Linked DNA regions of Ovis aries. The protein of the gene in region 1 interacts with the protein of each later gene in a pairwise test. Links are inferred from orthologs where the notes say so. Each region holds a gene or a part of one and is shown in the gene's direction. Other genes may lie near its edges.

What was found. The genes of interacting proteins can lie anywhere in the genome.
Region 2: the proteins of METTL21A (region 1) and FAM200C interact in binary tests that used the Homo sapiens proteins (3 or more experiments, as listed by UniProt). The two-hybrid records come from large-scale screens. The link is inferred for Ovis aries from reciprocal best matches to the Homo sapiens genes METTL21A and FAM200C.

The regions. Positions count from the first base shown.
Region 1 is NC_056055.1:209,707,341-209,717,183, reverse strand, and holds the start of METTL21A (protein N-lysine methyltransferase METTL21A), read left to right. Parts: upstream 1-3,103; 5' UTR 3,104-3,207; exon of another isoform or gene 3,208-3,367; intron 3,368-3,411; exon of another isoform or gene 3,412-3,517; 5' UTR 3,518-3,608; intron 3,609-4,029; 5' UTR 4,030-4,062; coding exon 4,063-4,209; intron 4,210-5,631; coding exon 5,632-5,743; intron 5,744-8,175; coding exon of another isoform or gene 8,176-8,447; exon of another isoform or gene 8,448-9,843. UniProt on the Homo sapiens protein: Protein-lysine methyltransferase that selectively trimethylates residues in heat shock protein 70 (HSP70) family members. Contributes to the in vivo trimethylation of Lys residues in HSPA1 and HSPA8.
Region 2 is NC_056058.1:69,539,037-69,548,922, reverse strand, and holds FAM200C (protein FAM200C), read left to right. Parts: upstream 1-3,908; 5' UTR 3,909-4,308; intron 4,309-5,133; 5' UTR 5,134-5,211; intron 5,212-7,214; 5' UTR 7,215-7,263; coding exon 7,264-9,048; 3' UTR 9,049-9,637; downstream 9,638-9,886. Other genes in the region: pre-mRNA-splicing factor SLU7, read left to right, coding at 6-77, 192-308, 900-1,079.

The DNA.
Region 1 (9,843 bases):
TGGAATAATAGACTGGTTCCAAACGAGGAAGGGAATACATCAAGGCTGTATTTTGTCACCCTGCTTATTTAACATATGCAGAGTACATCATGAGAAACGTTGGGCTGATGAAGCACAAGCTGGAATCAAGATTGCTGGGAGAAATATCAATAACCTCAGATATGCAGATGACACCACCCTTATGGCAGAAAGTGAAGAAGAGCTAAAGAGTCTGTTGATGAAAGTGAAAGAGGAGAGTGAAAAAGTTGGCTTAAAGCTCAACATTCAGAAAATGAAGATCATGGCATCCAGTCCATCACTTCATGGCAAATAGATGGGGAAACAGTGGAAAAAGTGTCAGACTTTATTTTTTGGGGCTCCGAAATCACTGCAGATGGTGATTACAGCCATGAAATTAAAAGATGCTTACTCCTTGGGGGAAAAGTTATTACCTAGACAGCATATTAAAAAGTAGAGACATTACTTTGCCAACCAAGGTCCATCTAGTTAAGGTTATTGTTTTTCCAGTAGTCATGTATGGATGTGAGAGTTGTACTAAAAAGAAAGCTGAGCACCAAACAACTGATGCTTTTGAATTGTGGAATTGGAAAAGACTCTTGAGAGTCCCTTGGACTGCAAGGAGATCCAACCAGTCCATCCTAAAGGAAGTCAATCCTGAATATTCATTGGAAGGACTAATATTGAAGCTGAAACTCCAATACTTTGGCTACCTGATGCTAAGAGCTGACTCCTTTGAAAAGACCCTGATGCTGGGAAAGATTGACGGGAGGAGAAGGGGATGACAGAGGATAAGATGGTTGGATGGCATCACCAACTGAATGGACATGAGTTTGAGTAAACTCCAGGAGTTGGTGATGGACAGGGAGGCCTGGCATATTGCAGTCCATGGGGTCACAAAGAGTCAGACACGACTGAGCAACAGAACTGAACTGAACTGACAACACCAACAGTGAAGTCTAATGTGTAAACTCTGGTCTTGGGGGGGTGACAATGATGTGTTACCGTAGGTTCATCAGTTGTAATAAATGTACCATTCTGGTGGGAGATGACAAATGGGGGAGGCTAGGCACCGGGCAGGGAGTGCTTGGGGAATCGTTGCACTTTCTTGCCAGTTTTGGCATAAAACAGCCAGTTTTATGCCACTAACATAAAAAAGTTAGTCATGAATAACTGAGCAAAGCAAAGAAAGGAAAAAAAAAAGGAAAAGATATTCACTGGTGACCTTCAAAGTTCTTCAAGTCACTTTTGCAGCCCAGGGTCCCAGCTTTCTAAGGAAATCTGGACAGAGAGCAGAGCACGCCCCCTGCGGGATTTGAGAGGAATAGGAAGCGGGGACGCGGGGGTCGGGGGGTGGTGGTGGTCCAGGCTGCCGGCCGGAATCACCCGGGAAGCTCTGAAAAATAGGATTGCTCTAGGCCCCACCGCTTACCAGCTGAGACTTTGCAGTGGCGGCATCCAGCTCTGCAGGGCTGAAAAGCGCTCCAGTTTATTCTAAAGTGCAGGCGGAGCTGAGACTCGCTGCGAGAGAGCGGCGGCGGGTGGGTTGCGGGGTCTGGGGGTCAAGATCCAAGAGGAAAAAGAAACCTTCCAGGGAGAAGGAGGGTAGCCCTCATCTCGTCATTTGTGCCCCCCTCCCTCCAACTCCCAGCGCAGTCACATTCCTGGATGCTCTCTCCAACCGCGTCCCTCCCAGGGACCTGCGACCAGATGCCACACTCTGAGCAGCTTTCGTCTCAAGAACGGGTGCCCCCAGGGCAGGTGCGCTGACCTTTCGGCCGGGGAAGGAAGGAGACAGGATCCCGGCTGACGGCGCTAGCAACAACCCCGGCCAGGGTGCCGCGTGCGGGCTCCGAGAAGGGCTTTGTCGCGTTTCCCACTGCGCAGCCACGGAGCACGCGAATTCACTAACTCGGACTTCACCTGGGTGAGATGGTGAATGGGTGATGGGTGGTGGATGGCTGACCACGTATTCTTAGGGGCGAATTTTCTCCTACACCCGCTAACTGACCACCCTTAAAACTAAAAACCCGCAAGCGCACAAATTTTAAGACCACACACACACACAAAAGCGCGAGCGCGAGAACTAGCACACAGACTGGCAGGCAGACCCGCCGCCTCTCCAGTGCCAGGCGGGTGGCTTCGCGGTCCCCGGCCGCGGTGGCACCCATGCCCTCCGCGCCCCCGCTTCTGCAGCGGTGTATATCCAGTAGTGTAGTAGTGTTAGTCACTTAGTCGTGCCCGACTCTTTGTGACCCCAAGGACTATAGCCCGCCAGGCGCTTCTGTCCATGGAATTCTCCAGGCAAGAATACTGGAGTGGGTTGGCATTTCCTTCTCCCATCCTGATGGTAGTGGACACTGAAAACATTTAGGCATAAAGTGTTGGCTAGCATAGCTCACCAGTAGAATGAGATCACCTGTTTGTTGGCTCTCAGCACCGCCCTCAGTGTGGCGATCTGCTCCCGTTTGGTGCTCAGTAGGGACTTGAACCTGAGGATCTCTTTCATTAGGGCTTTCTTGTCTTTATCGATCACGGGGTCTGCAGCTCCTTGACGAGACAGTTGCAAGGACCGGTCCACGGCTTTCTGCAGATGTTTGATTTAGTCCCGGAGCATGGCATTAAGGTTGTAGATATTCATTGGTTCTTTGCGAATGTCACTTGTATCTAATACTGGAGATGATGGCGGGGCAGTAATAACAGAGGGTATCGTAAAGCGGAATAATCATACTGTTAATGCCTAGTATTTAAGTTCAGGATCGAGTCCGCCCAGTTTAAGTTCAGGATCGAGCCTGCAGTGGTCGTTATAGAACTCCCCGATTTAGACAGCGTGGATCCCCACGAGCTCCACCCTCGGCGGCCAGAGAAACTGACTTGCGGGTGCGGATACCTTGCGGACACACGCAGCGGGAACCCCGCCCCGCCCCCGCCTCCGCCCCGCCATCCCCGCGCTGGTCCCCACTGCACCCGCCGCTCCGCGTCGCTGGCGCTCGGGGATCGCGTGTTCTGGGAGGGCGGGGGACCGGAAACGGGTGGCCCAGCGCCGGCCACCCGCCCCCTCCCGGCCCGGCGCGGCGGTCTACCCGGGCTCTGGCCCTTTAAAGCCGGTCATTTCCGCCGGCGACCTTGGGGGCGGGGAGAGCAGCGCGCGCGCCTCGCGAGGCCGTCTCCGGAGCCGTAAGTAGAGGCCAGGCCGTGCCGCGGGCCCCAGTGCGTGGCCCGCCGGGCTCCCGGGGCGCTGGCCGCGCCCCCGGCGGGGAGGTTCCGGCGCTCCCGGGGCGGGGTGAGGCCGGGCCGAGCGGGCGGCCCCTCTCCAGGCTCCCGCCCCTACGCCGCAGCTGCCCGTAGCCCCGGGGCCCGGCGGAAGGACGTGCGTCTCTGTCCGCCGCCCCTGTTTGGGGTTGGGGGGCGGGCGACTCCGGGGAGGGCTCCCAGCCGCGGAGGGGGGCGACTCCATGCCGGACCCAGGGTCCCGCTCCCCGCGAGAGATTCAGAATGCCCGAGTGTCTTTCACTTTCAGTCTCCAGGAAATGGATCTGCGTAGACCGTGTATATCCAGCCGGTACCATAAACCAGGATAATCACAACGTTAACCCCAGGTTGAAGTTCAGGTTCGAGTCCGTGGTGGTCCCCATTGAACTCACCGAGCGAGAGGGAGCGAGGGGAGACCAACACAAAACAATAGATGCCCCGCCGACCGCGGCGGGTTGCAAGCCGCCGTCCACGCGGGCCCAGGCGGTTTAGAAAGCGCTACTTTCTCCGCGTCCTGAGCTGTCACCTCCACTTCGCTCACTCATCGCGCTGCGAATTCACTGAGTGGTTACCGCTGAGGGTATAGGGCATCCAGCACCTTTGGCTTGAGTTCAGAGCGAAATCTCACTTCCCAGGAGGGCCGTGCAAAAGGGATTAGAGACTTCGCCTCAACTCTTTCTTCTTTTGAACTTGTAACAATTGGCTTTGAGCATTTGGAGCTACTAAAGAGGTCGTGCATTTTCTACCTAGAGCCTCACTCAAGATTCTTTTGCCCTACAGCTTGGAGGGAGCAGAGAGCTGGCCGGGGGCGAGATGGCCCTGGTGCCCTATGTGGAGACCGCGGAGATGGGGCTGCAGAGATTCCACAAGCCTCTGGCCACCTTCTCCTTTGCAAACCACACGATACAGATCCGTCAGGACTGGAAGCAACTGGGAGTCGCAGCGGTGGTTTGGGACGCGGTAAGTGATCGCCGGACGTCTCTGAAAATATCAGCAATTGATGATAAGAGTGCTCTTATTTTTGAAAAGTTAACAGCTTTGTTGGGTTGTAATTTATATACTGTACTTTGCAGTTTAAGTTTTTTTTTTTAAAGTAAATTCACAAAGTGGTGCAAGTACCACTATGCTCAGTTTTAAAACATTGCATCACCACACCCCATCCCCAGAAAACCTCTACCCATTAGATCATTTTCCTGCACCCCACCTCACCAAACAGATTGCATTTTAAGGGTGAGTAAAGAAAGCTGAGAGAAATCAAATGACTTGCCACTGGAGTCCCTAGCTGCTTTGGACACTAGTTTAACACTGCACAAAGGAAATGTAACTGACAAAGCCCCACAGGAGGATCATGTGTTTTCTTTAAGTTTTCCATAGTTGTCATGATCAAAAAACGACACTATAATGGTTACTTTTTCCTCTCCCCAGCCTTGTTCTTTCAACTGCTTGTAGCAGACTTGCCCTCAGCCTCTAGCCACACCTGGGATTCAGTGGGAACTCAGGATTCAGCCAATGCTGGATAAATGATTGGCATAGATACAGTTTTACAATCTTAACATTGTATTGGGGGTGTCAGAAACATTCAGGGATACAAAATATTGATATATCTGTAACCCAGTAGTACTACTTCTAGGAATCTAGTCCAAGGTAACAAGAAAAGTTTTCTCAGAAAGAGTAATAAAGATACAGAATAGTGAGGAATGGATGAGTCTCCTTCATTCTCACTGAGAAGAGGAATTGCTTGGTATACTAATAGTATGTGGCCATGAAAAATTAAAGTGATGTTAAGAGCATACATTGATTTTTAGAGTTGTTTGCAAATGCTAACTCACATATCAAGTCCAACCCTTCATCTGAAACTTACCCCTTGATGTCCGGTCGCTGTGGGGTGATGAGTGTTAGGGGCTCAGGAGAGCAGGAGAGAGGGATGCAGCTCCGAGAGACTTGGTGGGGCTCTGCTTGTCCCCTTTGGTTGTGGCCTTGCTGATTTGAACTCGGTTTAGGAACTGGACATTCCTTAAGCCAAATCACAGAGACTGTTCATGTCAGCTCTGCCAGAATGGGTTTGTAAACCTTGAGTGTCAGAGTGCTGTGACACAGAAGTTAACCTTCCCAGATTCAGCAGGACCCGGCCTTGGATGGGCAGAATCACTGACTGCCCCAAGGGCCTCTGGTGGGGCTGGGGGCAGCTGGGCCGTGGGACTTGGTATCCATGTTTGCTCTAGGTGACCCTACCAGCAGCAGCTGAGTTCCCATGGGTGCTGTTAACCTGGGAGTTGAGCTTTGCAGTGGGAGGGGGTGTGTGGTAACTTCCTGGAGCATGGAGCCTGCTGGAAATCCTAAAGCGCTTATTGACCTTAACTGTCATACTGTGTTTTGACTCAGGCTGTCGTTCTTGCCACGTATCTGGAGATGGGCACTGTGGAACTCAGGGGCTGCTCTGCTGTGGAGCTGGGTGCTGGCACAGGGCTGGTGGGCATAGTGGCTGCCCTGCTGGGTGAGTGTGACGCAGGGCTCCCTCCTGTGTGAGTGGAGGGGTCGCCTTTTCATGACGCAAACCCATTGTCAGTTTCCCTCTTACTGGGTTACTGTCCTTCTCCTTGTACTTATTATGAGTCACAGGCCACAACTGCTATGCTCACAACTCCAGGAAGGCTCATTCCTTCTCTCTCTGTCTCTCATCCTGTTATTTATATTCTCACTGGAGATGCTTTGCCCACTTCAATTCTGTGATGATCTTAAGGAGACTGAATTCAAAGAGAATTATCCAATTCATGTGTTTTAAAAAAAATTTTTTTTATTTTACAGTTTTAGGTACTGACCTCCTGCAATGCAGGGGAAGCAGATTTGATCTCTGGGTTGGGAAGATCCCCTGGAGAAGGAAATGGCAACCCACTCCAGTATTCTTGCCTGGGAAATCCCATGGAGCCTGGCAGGCTACAGTCCATGGGGTCTCAAGAGCTGGACATGACTTAGCAACTAAACCACTATCCCTGTCTCTATATTTGGATTTACCCCAAGGAAGTAAGGAGAGCAGAAAATCTTTTACCTTTGTTGCTGAGGAATCTTTGGTGGTTTGTTCCTTTTAGGAAGGGCTGGGCCCCCTGCAGTTTGAACTGACATCTTCTATTAAACAGTAGGTAGTTCTGACTTGATGTCAAGGTTTGTATGTGTGTGTGTGGTTTTTTTTTTTTTTCATACAGACATTAATTTAGGCCTAGAGCATTTTTAACCTTCATTTCTATTTCATAATTCATTGACTCTTTTTTGACAAAGAGTTGACTGTTGACAAATTTTTTGATTCTTTACAACTTCTGGCTTGTGCAGTTCAAGCGATTTGATGATTGGGTAGACCTGCCTCTAAGATACAATATATACTATTCCTCACTTCAGTATTGTCAGCTGTGGCTCTTGTTTCTGCTTCCCTGGGTCTGGAGTGGGGCCCAAGAGCCTGCATTTCTTATGAGCTCCCAAGTGATGACAGTGATGCCCAAACTGCTGGTCCTCAGACCACGCTGAGGTGGTCAGGATCTAGAATTCCATCATGTGCGTACAAGTACTTGAGGACCCACTAAAGCCCCACTTCTGTCCTGTTCTTTTTCTGGTAACATATCTTTTTCAGTATTCCTTTCTCTGTTTAGATTTTGCCTTCCGATGGGGAGCATAGGCAGGGGCGGTGGGTGGAATTGTGTACCTAGAAGCTGGCTTAGGTCCATCTGTATGACATCACTGGAGAAGGCAATGGCACCCCACTCTAGTACTCTTGCCTGGAAAATCCCATGGTTGGACGACCCTGGTAGGCTGCAGTCCATGGGGTCACTAAGAGTCGGACACGACTGAGCTACTTCCCTTTCACTTTTCACTTTCCTGCATTGGAAAAGGAAATGGCAACCCATTCCGGTGTTCTTGCCTGGAGAATCCCAGGGATGGGGGAGCCTGGTAGGCTGCTGTCTACGGGGTCGCACAGAGTCGGACACGACTGAAGCCACTTAGCAGCAGCAGTCTGATATGACAGGTGGCACTAGTGGTAAAGAACCCACCTGCCAATGCAGGAGACATAAGAGATGTGGGTTTCATCCCTGGGTCGGGAAGATCCCTTGGAGAAGGGAATGGCAACCCATTCCAGTATTCTTGCCTGGAGAACCCTGTGGACAGAGAGGCCTGGTGGGCTACAGTTCCATGGTGGGGGCAAAGAGTCAGACACGACTGAAGCGACTTAGCACGCAAGCGTGTCTGATGTCACAGCACTTTCCGTCACTGGGGAGGCCCTCACTGATACCACCTTTTGTTCTCCTCACATTAACCTTATATCATCCCTATGTATGTTAGGTATGTTTTAAAATTTTCGTTTTGCCAGTGAAGCTGGAAGTTCTGGGAAACTAACCCACTTTCTGAAGTCCTGATCAGTGTCAACCTGAGACTCAAACCAGGCTTGTCGCATACGGCAGCCTGAGTTCTTTCTTTCTGCAATACTGACCCTCACCTCGGTGACGTGAGAGGAGTTAACTGGATGGAGAGATGAAGTTTCTTTTGTCTCTTCCTGAGAACAAGGGCCTCCTCACTGCTGGCAAGACAGAGTGTGGTGATGTGCACAGGGTTAGAGGCCCACTAGGCGCTGACCTTTTTTTTTTTCAATTTAATTTTACTGAAGCATAGTTGATTCCCAATGTCATGCCAACTTCTGCTGCACAGCAAACCGACCCAGGCATATATATACATATATACATTTTCCATTTTGCTCCGTCACAGCATACTGAATACAGTTCCCTGTGCTACGCAGTAGGACTTTGCTGCCATTCATCCCACATACAATAGTTTGCACCTGCTGATCCCAAACATTGGGAAATACGCCCTCCTGCCCACTCCCTCACCACCCCCCAGCCGCAAGTAAGCACTTCACCTGCTCTGACTTCTTTTAACTCTTACTAGCTGTGTTACCAGAGAAGGCCATGGCACCCCACTCCAGTACTCTTGCCTGGAAAATCCCACGGACGGAGGAGCCTGGTGGGCTGCAGTCCATGGAGTCGCGAAGAGTTGGACATGACGGAGTGACTTCCCTTTCACTTTTAACTTTCATGCATTGGAGAAGGAAATGGCAACCCACCCCAGTGTTTTTGCCTGGAGAATCCCAGGGACGGCGGAGCCTGGTGGGCTGCCATCTATGGGGTCGCACAGAGTCGGACACGACTGAAGCGACTTAGCAGCAGCAGCAGCAGGTTGCTTCTAAGTCCTAGCTATTGTAAACAGTGCTACTATGAACATTGGGGTACATTTGTCTTTTTCAGTTGTGGTTTCCTCTGGGTATATGCCCAGCAGTGGGATTGCTGGGTCATATGGTAGTTTTACTACTAGTTTTTTAAAGGAATCTCCATCCATATTTTAATCACAGTTATAATTGTGATTCCATACATGTGCCTATGCATTTGGTTATTCCCCTGCCTAAGTTACCTTCTCAGTGAGGCCTTTCCTTTCAAACCAACTCTCTTACTTCCTGATGTTTTATATCTCTCTTTCCTGCTTTATTTTTTTCTTAGTGTGTACTTCCGACTAACATACTGGACATCCTGCTTTTAAAAACACCCCTTGCTGCCTCTCTCCTCACTTAAATGTAGATTCTGTGAAGGTAGGGGTCTTTGTCCCATGGCTGATGGCAGCCACCTGGATATTTATGGAATTGGTGGATGTTTTGGGGAATGGTCAACTGACAGTAAGATTCTACTGAAACTTGTGGCACACTCGGCAGGTGAGAAGTAGCCTCAGAAACCTCTGAGGCAGGCATTCCAGGAGGTTTCCATCTAAGAGCTATTAATGTGAACACCGAGGTGACATGGAAAACCACATCACTCCAGTGCTGACAGCAGAGTGCTCGGTAGACTGTTAGGAAGTCCAGAGGTAAAGTTCTAGGTCAAAGCAGGAAAAGGCTTGCTACTGGGAGAAATGGAAAGTATCACTGAATTCTACTCTGGTGAGCATGCTGGCTAGCAACAGTGATAGGTGCATGCATCTGTCAACTTGCACATTTTCACAGTATCACACTCAGGACTGAGTCACATGTCCAGCTGAATTATATACCCTAATATGTTATATGTCAAGATAAGAAAGCTTCAGTGTAGACTATACTGAAATGGTGCTGCCAACAGCTGTTCTGGGATCCTCTAGGGGATTGCTCATGAAGATTGCAGATTGGAGGATGCAGATGAAAAATAACTTATGAAAGAGTTAAATGTGATGTTTATGTTTTAGAATTTACAGGGTTAAAACCAGGCAGGATCATGTGTGTGATAGTGTTAATGCAATGTAGATGAGGGGTTTCAGGGCTGACCTTATGTAGTTGCTTCACCTGAAGGGTTACTACCCTTCAGACTTCTCTCCGCCATACTGGTTCAAAAAGTTGAATCTCTTAGTTCATTGTAAACAACCCACAAGAAACAGATTAATACAATACTGCCTCCTTTATTTTACACATTGCTTGTAGAAACTTAGCACATAGAGAACATCATTTCACCTACAGGACTGTAATACAATCTTGTGATTTTTAACTTTATCGTTTTTCCATAATTATATATAAATTGAATGATTACATATAGACTGGCTGCT
Region 2 (9,886 bases), on another chromosome or scaffold:
CACAGAATTCAGAAGAATGTATTATAAATGATTCAACTGGAGAAGAATCTGTGAAAAAACCTCAAACCCTCATGGAGGTATGTCCCAATTCAGTTGTCCTGAATTTTTAAGTCTTAAAGGGAAGACTTTAAAACTTGCCCTAGAACTTTGGTTTTACATTAATAACACTATATGTAAATGCTCTGTATCAGATGCATCAGGAAAAACTAAAAGAGGAGAAAAAGAAAAAGAAGAAAAAGAAGAGGAAGCATCGAAAGAGCAGTTCAGAGAGTGATGATGAAGAAAAGAAACATGAAAAATTGAAAAAGGTACTTTGTGAAGGCTAAATAAATAGTAAAAGTGACCACAGTCGTCTTTATTTGTAGGAATCTTAGAAAATTATCTTATCTTATTCCCAAGCTCATTTTAAAAATGAGCAAACAAACTCGAAGACTGGGTGATTTGCTTGGGTCATCTGTCAGGTCCAGAATACAAATGGAGATTTTGTGTGTCTCCATATTGCCTGCGAGTTATTGACATGTTCCTCAGAGAGAATTGCCATCTTAACTCTATAATTGTAAGCTTCAGCAAGTCTTGGGAAAAGTCAGAATTGTATTCTTCGCCAAAAGCATCAGTTGCCGGCTTCTGTCAGTAAAATGAATCTCATTCAGTTTTTGTTGTTAAATAAAATTTCTTTAACATTGAAAATGTCATAGGATGTTTTGTGCTCTATGAAAATTTTTGAGCCAAATAATAATTAGTTGTAGCTTGACAGCGATAGAGCTGACTCCCAGGCAGAGGCAATCTAGGATTTTGATGTAACAATTCATAGTCAGTGGGGTCTTTTGGTACTCTGCCACTTCTGAACCAAAGGGATCTGACTCAGAGCCATGGTACTCATGTATTTCTTCTCACTATAGGCACTGAATGCAGAGGAGGCCCGTCTTCTTCACGTCAAGGAGATCATGCAGATTGATGAGAGGAAGCGACCTTACAACAGCATATATGAAACTCGGGAACCCACTGAAGAGGAAATGGAGGCCTACAGAATGAAACGTCAGAGGCCAGATGACCCCATGGCCTCCTTCCTCGGACAGTAGTAACTCGTCACTGACGCTGACCCAAGATAGACTCTGCTTATACATTCTTTTAGATTCTTGCTGTTGATTATCGATGGAAAAATCCGTATCTATTCTCATTAAAGTCAGGAAGCAAGGAGACTGCCCGACCTTAATGAAGTATCCAGAAGTCTCATAATAAATTCATTTCTTTACTCGGTGAAGAACAAAGAAGAAGAAATAAAGTGGTTCATTAAGTGCAGATTAAGATTTTATTTCCGATTTTATATTAGTGATTGGGAAAAGATCTTAGTTCTCCACCTATCATGAATATCTTCTCAACATTTATTTATTAAGTTTCAAACTTTATTTCCTCAATTTTTATGGCCCTTTATCTAGTGTTAGGACTCATTGTGAAGGCAATTAATTACTCTTTCTTGAAACAAGGGCTTCATTTTGTTTTTATTGTAACTATAACTGTAGTTATTTAATAATCATTTCTTTTTGCCTTCTCAGATTTTTCTGATCTGAAACTGATAACCTATCTTGAGCTTTGGGTTACTGGAAGGAAATCTGTAGAACGTGTGAATAACTATCCCTGATGTCAGTCTGTGTAGTAACAATTCTATTTCCCCCTTGGTTATAAAATTTTGATTTTCAAAACATTTCCTTGTATTTTATACTCAGAACTAAATGTGTTAGCCTTTGAATGGGGAAAAAAGTTTTTCACCCTGAGTTAGTGTTGACTGATAAGTCCTAGGTCTTTTACCAGTCTGGACAGGAGTATTCAGACACTGAAATCCTCTCCTTTGTCACAGAGAATATGGTTTGTGATACTAATAGCTATTTTAATTGTGATTGCCTTTATATAACAGTCATGAATATTAGATTTTTAAAAGATTGTAGGGTATCTGTTGTACCTAATCTTTATAGCCAGCAGGTGTGTCTCGGTAAAATTTGCAAAAAGTTAAACCTGAAGTTGAATGTTTCTTCAGAATATTACAAGTATAGCCTGTAGGGCTATTAGTATTTGAGAATGACATGATTTTTAAGCTGCTTCTAATAACATTGGGAAGATAGTGCTGACAGAGTGGGATGGGTGAAAACAGCCTGTTTAAAACCCCTGACACAAGTACATTGACTTTTAACAGTTCACTGGCTTTTCTGAACTACCAAAACCCACTAGAATATTGCGTTAAGTTAACATCTCAGAAATACTGCTGATGGGAAAGTAACTAAATCAAATTGTCAAGTACTGTGGATATACATTGCATCTAAATTCAGACCAGTATGAAACAGTGATGCAAACAGACCTAATTCTTACCTACTTTAAGAATGTCAAAAATTTTTGTTTTCATATTCCTACCTTAACAGGGGCTGGTTCAACATAAAATCTGATATTAGTGTCTATTTTGTATTTTATTTATCTTTTGTTAATAAAGATATATAATTGGAAATATTTAACTGTGAGTAGTTTGTAGCATTATTTCAAATATTTGGCAGAAAAGTAGTTTATAGGACTGGCAAGAAGGCTAAGTTAGCTTCTGCACATTTGAATTAGAAGATTTCAGGACACTTTAACTCAAAAAAATGTGTCACCTAACATTTTGGGGCTTCTGTTTTCTTTTGTGAAACCTAATTTAAGCTGATTTTAGAAAGAAATCTATAATATCTGAAATCATGTCTTATTTCTGTTTCCTTTTGGATAAAAGGTAACATCTAGAACATTACTCAAGATAGCTTTGATTTTATTATCTCAGTTATAGATGACTTGAGTGCTGGAACTATGTGCTATTGCATATGTTATCCCTCAGAAGACTTTCATGGGGTGAGTAATAGGATGCTATGCGTATTTCACAGTAAGCATAGGGACTCATTGAGTCCAGGTAGCTTGCTCAGGTCCTAACGGTAAAAGGTTGGGGTCAGGATGTAAACCAAAGTCTTTGACTCTAAAGCCTATTCCTTTCTCTAACATTTAAGGCCCAGATTTTTGGACCAGGAAGGCTGGTCTTTTGCAGTTTCTCTCATTGACAGAAACCTTAGGCAGGCTCTTGGTGTTTTTATCAGGCTCACCCTCAAGACCTGAAAATGAGGTATCTGCCTCACTTTGTTTGACATTTCTCCCTCCCCTAGGCTTGTGGGATGCATCTCACAAGACTGACTATACAAAAATGAATGAAATGCGATGTCATGAAAAACCCTTAAAGTAGAAAAGAGGACTGTATTTCGGTTTGTTTCATTCAACATTTTCTAGTTTCTACTTTAGGTTTTTTCTCTAAAATCTGATATGGGTTTATTTCTCTAAAAGTCTTGTTTAAAAGAATCTTAAAAGCCATTTCTCTAAGATGGATGATGATTCTCATCAAATTCACCTACACGCTGTAATTAATGGGGAGATGGGGGCAACCAGCATGGGCAAGAAGACACAAGCTCATCCTCTACCATTTTATCTTAACAGAATTTACAGCTTGTCTCATTTGCCTGGATGTTTAATTTGGAAGTAGAATTAACTTCTTTTCTTCCTCATTCGTTCCACAAAGAAAATGGTTAATCATTGGAGCTTCATAATCGCCAAGATCAAAGCCTGACAATACAAATTTTTATTTCTAGTGCTCTGAATGTTAAAAAGTAGAACTATGTGGCTTTACAGTGCTTTTCATCCCTGAGATTCTACGATGCATCTCCTCTGCAGACACAATATGCAGAAAATTCCCAGCTCCACATACACAACTTGAAAAGAGAAGCAGCGCGCGTGCTCCTTTCCTGGAGGCCGGGGAAGGGGCGGGGGGTGCGAGTTGGGGGCGCTAACCGTTTGCCAGTGCGCCTGCGTGCGAGGATTCGCCTCGCCCTGTCTGCGGGCGGGAAGGCTCCAGGAGAACCCGGATGGAGCCCGGCGTGGTAGGAACGGGGGACGCTGCGGGCGCAGCTATCACACCGCGCCCCGCAGGGTCCTGCTCCGGGGTCGCACCCGAGAAGCGGCCGCCTAGACTGGTTCCAGCTCCCGGAGGCTGAGCCCTAGCCTGAGCGGAGAGGGAAGTGGAGCCCGAAACGGGCGCCTAAAAGAAGCCCGAGCATCCCTTGGGCCTGCGCCTGCGTCTCAGAGCCGTCGGCTGGAGACCGAGCAGTCTTCTTTCCGCGCCACCGGAGTCCTTAGCTTGCCCTGGCAGCCTTCTAAATGCTCCGTCCTTTATAATACACCAAGCCTTACCAGTTACGAGCCCATGTCGTTTACATGCACGCTCATAATTAAACCTCCCAACAACCCTGTAAGGTAGGTACTATTGTCATCCCCAGTTGAGGGACTGAGGCTTGGACAGGTCCCAGCCTCTAAGTGACAAAGCCAGCATCCCAGGCGTTTGCCTCTGGAGTATTTGCATTGCATTCCTTTACCTTCTCTCCTGGTTTTTGCTTTTCATAACGTAAAGATAGTGAATCCAATCCTCTGCCTCCCTGGATACCTGCACCTACCATGGACTGGCATAGGCAGAGGCCAAGTAGAAGTCTGATTGTGTTTGGTTTGGTGTTTAAGGTTTACTGCCGCACTTTGGTGTTGTCACTGCTGACATAGATGTTTTAGCCTTTCCCGGGTATTTCTGTTATATGAATGTTTACTTGTAACTGACTGATTTTTCTCTCACTTGTGATACTGTTTCATATCTACACTTCATAAACTTGCAAAATGTTTTACTCTGTTGCATCTGTTCTTTCATTCTGCATCTTTAGATGGCTTTCAGCAAATTCTCAAAAATCTTTCTGAAAAGTAATTATGTCTATGTTAGTAAGTAAGCATTTTTGTTTATTTTACTGTTTATTATGGGAAATTTCCAGCATACATAGAGTGAGTATGGTGTAATGATGTGTGTCCATCATCCAGCCAACTCAAGACCAGTCCTGTTCTAGTTCCACCCCCGTTGTGTGTGTGTGCTGAAGTACTGTATTTCAGAGAGCCCAGACATCATTCCACCAGTTAATAATTAAGTCCGTGTTTCTAATGATGAAGACTTTTTAAAAACTCAACCATACCATTATCACACTGTTTCAGTTAATAATAATTCCTTAATAAGATGATGCTTTTTTTAATGTTTACATATTTTAGGGTATTGTGATTGCTAAATACCACAAAGGAACAAGTGAGAATCCTGAGATTCTATAACACAAGAAAGCCTCTTGGGCGGTAAGTTCATCTTTGAGGATCTTAAAACTTCTTGCTACCTAGTCTCCCTTTTTGAGGGGGAGGGAGAACAATTTTTCTAAAAATTCTCTTTTTCCAAACAGGTAAATCTTCAATCAAAATATATGTGAGTAGCATAGAATGGATAGGAATATACTCTTAACTCATCCCATAATTTCTAGTTGGAAGTCATTAGAAATAAACATGAAGTAAAGAAAATCATTTGAAGTAAAGCTTTCTCCTTCGCTTTCTCTGTACCCCCGAAATATACATAACAATGTACAGAAAGATAAGCATTTTTTTATGTTCATCTCATAATTCTGTTATCAGTTAGGAGAGGTTCTAAACACAGTCTGCCCATGGTCTCCTCACTTGACAAAAGAAAGCTTAAGATCAACTCTAAATTGTCTTTATCAACTGGCAGACATCTGTCAATTTTAAACTGGTCAATAGCAACCATATGGTAGATCAACTTGCTAGTTACATAGAAGTACATTTTACAACTAGTTATTCTTGGCAGAGCCTCTAGCAAGCTAGGGCTTTAAGTAAATATTCTTGGCTTACTTACTGTGAGTTTTTTATGGCTAAAGTGGGTATTTGGATTTCAGTGTATCCCTGTTACATTATTTCAGCCACATTCTGTGGCACAGAACTTTGGGAATCATTTATATGGGAGATAGAATTGTTTTCTAAGGTATATTTGAGCCTACATGTGGATTATACCATTACTCATTGCTCAGGAGGGAGAAAGAGGAAAAAAGAAAACATATCTTTCTTTTTAGGTCCCTCAGCTTTCATAGGAAGTTGTCATCAACTCAGAAAAGGTAAATGGGTGTTAAAGCATTTAGTGTTTACTTAGCAACCTAGAATATCTGTAAGGCTAGGAACTGGCCTGGGGATGTGTTCATTCCTCTAAATCTGTCTGTGTACTTGGATATGTATCAGAATCACCTGGACAACTCTATTTTAGATTCTCTTGTCCTGCTACTGGAGAATGATGATGTATTAGTTCCGAGGTGGTACAGGGACATGTTTTCTTTCAGAAGTGCTCCCAGTGATTGTGATAGGCACTCTCGTTAAGAGATTCCTGTTCTGGGTACTATTCAGAAAAATTATCTAAAACACTTTATTTAGAGTACATATTTGGGGCTCCTACTCCAGAGCGAGGGGATCAGAATGTCTGAGTGTAGGGTCCAAGAATATGTATTTTAGCAAGAGACTTAGATGATTCCTCCATTTATTTACTGGAGAATACCTGCCTTCTACATCCTTTCCTACTATAATTAAGGCTTTTCTTCTATGAGAGAACTTTTTCTGAAATTTCAATAACAAGAATAGTTGTGTTTCTCCTGAGCCACTTGTTTTGCTTTTTTTATATGACAGTATGAATCATGGACGGATGGCGCATATCCTGCTTCAAAGGTGGCTTAGTCAGACCTGTTTGAAATTCTCTGCTTAGGTTGGAGTCAAAGCCACTCACGGCTCAAATAGTTTTATAGACTATTTGATTTAAATCCTTATATATTAGAAAGAACTAGCCAGCATGTCAGAATCTGCCCTTAGAGTATTTAGTGAAGACTTCTTCTCCATTCACTGGTTCATAACTGGGCGGTATGCATGCATCTCTGGCATAGGATGGAAGGAAGGGATGGCAGTGAGATGCCTTTTCTGGGAATACAAAATGTACCAGATTTGTTTGGAATATACGTCATTGAAAACAAAGTAAGCCATACCTGCAGCTCACCAGTAGAGAACTTACAGGGTATTCACAATTTGTATAAGCCCTAATCTCTCATATATAACTTGCTGGCAAGGTGTTTGTTCCAGGACTTTAGCTGTGAGTTTGCTCAATTTATGTTGTCATATTGTCATGGCTTACTTTGAACTGACATGTTACAGGATATTTCTTGACATGTACACAGATGACAGGATGGCATGAGAAGTGGCTTTGTTTTCATTCAGTTAGCCACTGGTTTTTAATGTCTGGATTATATTTTACTTCCAAGCAAAAATCTTCAACATCTGTGGAATACTGCGTGAGAAGTGTGGGGTGCCATGTCGAAGAAACGCAAATGGGACGATGACTATGTTCGTTACTGGTTCACCTGTATGACAGAGATTGATGGAACTCAGCGCCCACAGTGTGTATTGTGTAACTCGGTATTTTCAAATGCTGACCTCCGACCATCAAAACTGTCTGACCATTTTAACAGACAGCATGGTGGTATAGGTGGGCATGATCTCAGTAGCCTGAAACATGTGCCAACACCAGCTGATCAGAGTGAAACCCTGAAAACATTTGGAGTTGCATCTCAGGAAGATGCCTTACTACAGGCATCATATCAGTTTGCATATTTATGTGCCAAGGAGAAGAATCCTCATACAATAGCTGAAAAATTAGTGAAACCTTGTGCACTGGAAATAGCACAAATAGTTTTGGGACCAGATGCACAAAAGAAGCTTCAGCAGGTACCCTTATCAGATGATGTGATCCATTCTAGAATTGATGAAATGAGCCAGGATATCTTACAGCAAGTTCTAGAAGATATCAAAGCCAGTCCTCTTAAAGTGGGTATTCAGCTTGCGGAGACAACAGACATGGATGACTGCAGTCAGCTGATGGCATTTGTGCGATACATAAGAGAGAGAGAGATTGTAGAAGAATTCCTGTTCTGTGAACCACTGCAGTTAACAATGAAGGGAAAAGATGTGTTTAACCTGTTCAGAGACTTCTTTTTGAAACATAAGATAGCACTCGATGTATGCGGCTCTGTTTGTACTGACGGTGCCTCTACTATGCTAGGAGAAAATTCAGAGTTTGTTTGCTGTGTGAAAAAAGAGGTACCTCATATCGTGATCACACATTGTTTGCTGAACCCTCATACACTTGTCACAAAGACACTGCCTACAAAACTGAGGGATGCTCTTTTTACTGTGGTGAGGGTAATAAATTTTATCAAAGGGCGAGCTCCAAATCATCGCCTGTTTCAGGCTTTTTTTGAAGAAATTGGAATAGAGTATAGTGTTCTCCTTTTCCATACTGAAATGAGGTGGCTTTCCCGAGGCCAGATGCTTACTCATATTTTTGAAATGCATGAAGAAATAAATCAGTTTCTTCACCACCAAAGCAGCAGTTTAGTTGATGGCTTTGAAAACAAAGAGTTTAAAATTCACCTCGCGTACCTTGCAGATTTATTCAAACACCTAAATGAACTTAGTGCATCTATGCAAAGGACTGGAATGAACACAGTATCCGCTAGAGAGAAGTTGTCTGCCTTTGTTAGGAAGTTTCCATTTTGGCTAAAGCGGATTGAGAAAAGAAATTTTACCAACTTTCCTTTTCTTGAAGAAATTGTTGTTTCTGATAATGAAGCTTTATGCATCGCAGCTGAAATAACACGGCACCTGCAACAGCTGAGCAGCTTCTTCCATGGCTACTTCTCTGTTGGAGATCTTGATGAGGCAAGTAAATGGATACTGGATCCATTTCTCTTTAATCTGGACTTTGTCGATGATGGATATTTAGTGAAAAATGATCTTGCTGAATTACGAGCTAGTGGCCAAATCCTAATGGAATTTGAGACAATGAAGCTTGAGGACTTCTGGTGTGCTCAATTCACAGTGTTTCCCAGCCTGGCAAAGACAGCGCTAGAAATCCTTATACCATTTGCAACTACATACCTTTGTGAGTTGGGATTTTCATCACTTTTGCATTTTAAAACAAAGTCCAGAAGCTGCTTGAATATGAGTGATGACATCCGTGTGGCTATTTCAAAAAAAGTTCCTCGTTTCTCAGATATCATTGAACAAAAACTACAGCTCCAGCAGAAGTCACTGTAAAATGACAAACTTTTTGTGTATAATTTTTAACATATTCTTAAGTCCATTGTAAAATTAAGCTATAATTCTCTCTCTTTTATATTTATGATATACCAAATGCTATGTTTTAGAAAGTTTAGCATTTTTAACTTTTGATTTTCATGTGAGATGTGAAAACGTTTTGAGAATAAGAGCACAAGCAGCAGAAAAGATTAAGTGCTACTAATACATAGGATTCTTCTAAGTATCTGTTTAACCTTTTGATGTGATACATATAAAAAAGACACCCAAGCACTGGAATATCCAAGCTACTTGGTATAATAGGCTATGAATAGAGCCAAGAGAAAAAGAGAAGACCTCCCAGAACACACATTAAAAGTCAAAGGCAAAGGATGAAATGACATACTGAGTCCTCCCATGTCCTTGAGGGTTGTTTTAGGGAGGTAATGTTATCAAGAGGATTTTAAAATGTTATAGTGAAAGAAAGGATGATCCTAGTTAATTTAAGATTTATTTTTAAATGTATTATTTGGAGTTAGTCCCAATGTCCATTCCTCTGGTTCTATGCTTTAAATTCCATGACACTAATAAACATCCTGATATCTTGGTAGTCACTCCTTGTCTTCTTTTAAGTTACATCTAGACTCCAAGTCATTGGGGCAGCTAAAGAGGAGATCCTAGAGCTCTGTTCAAGAGATTTCTAATTTAACTGGCCTGGGCCAAGGAGCTTCATTCTCAACCAGCTTTCCAGACAGTTCTGATGGATTCTTTGGCCCTCTCACCTCATCTTATTTTTCCTACACTTAGTTTTCCTTTGCCCCAGTTTCTTCACTTATTTTATACCTTATGCTATATGTAT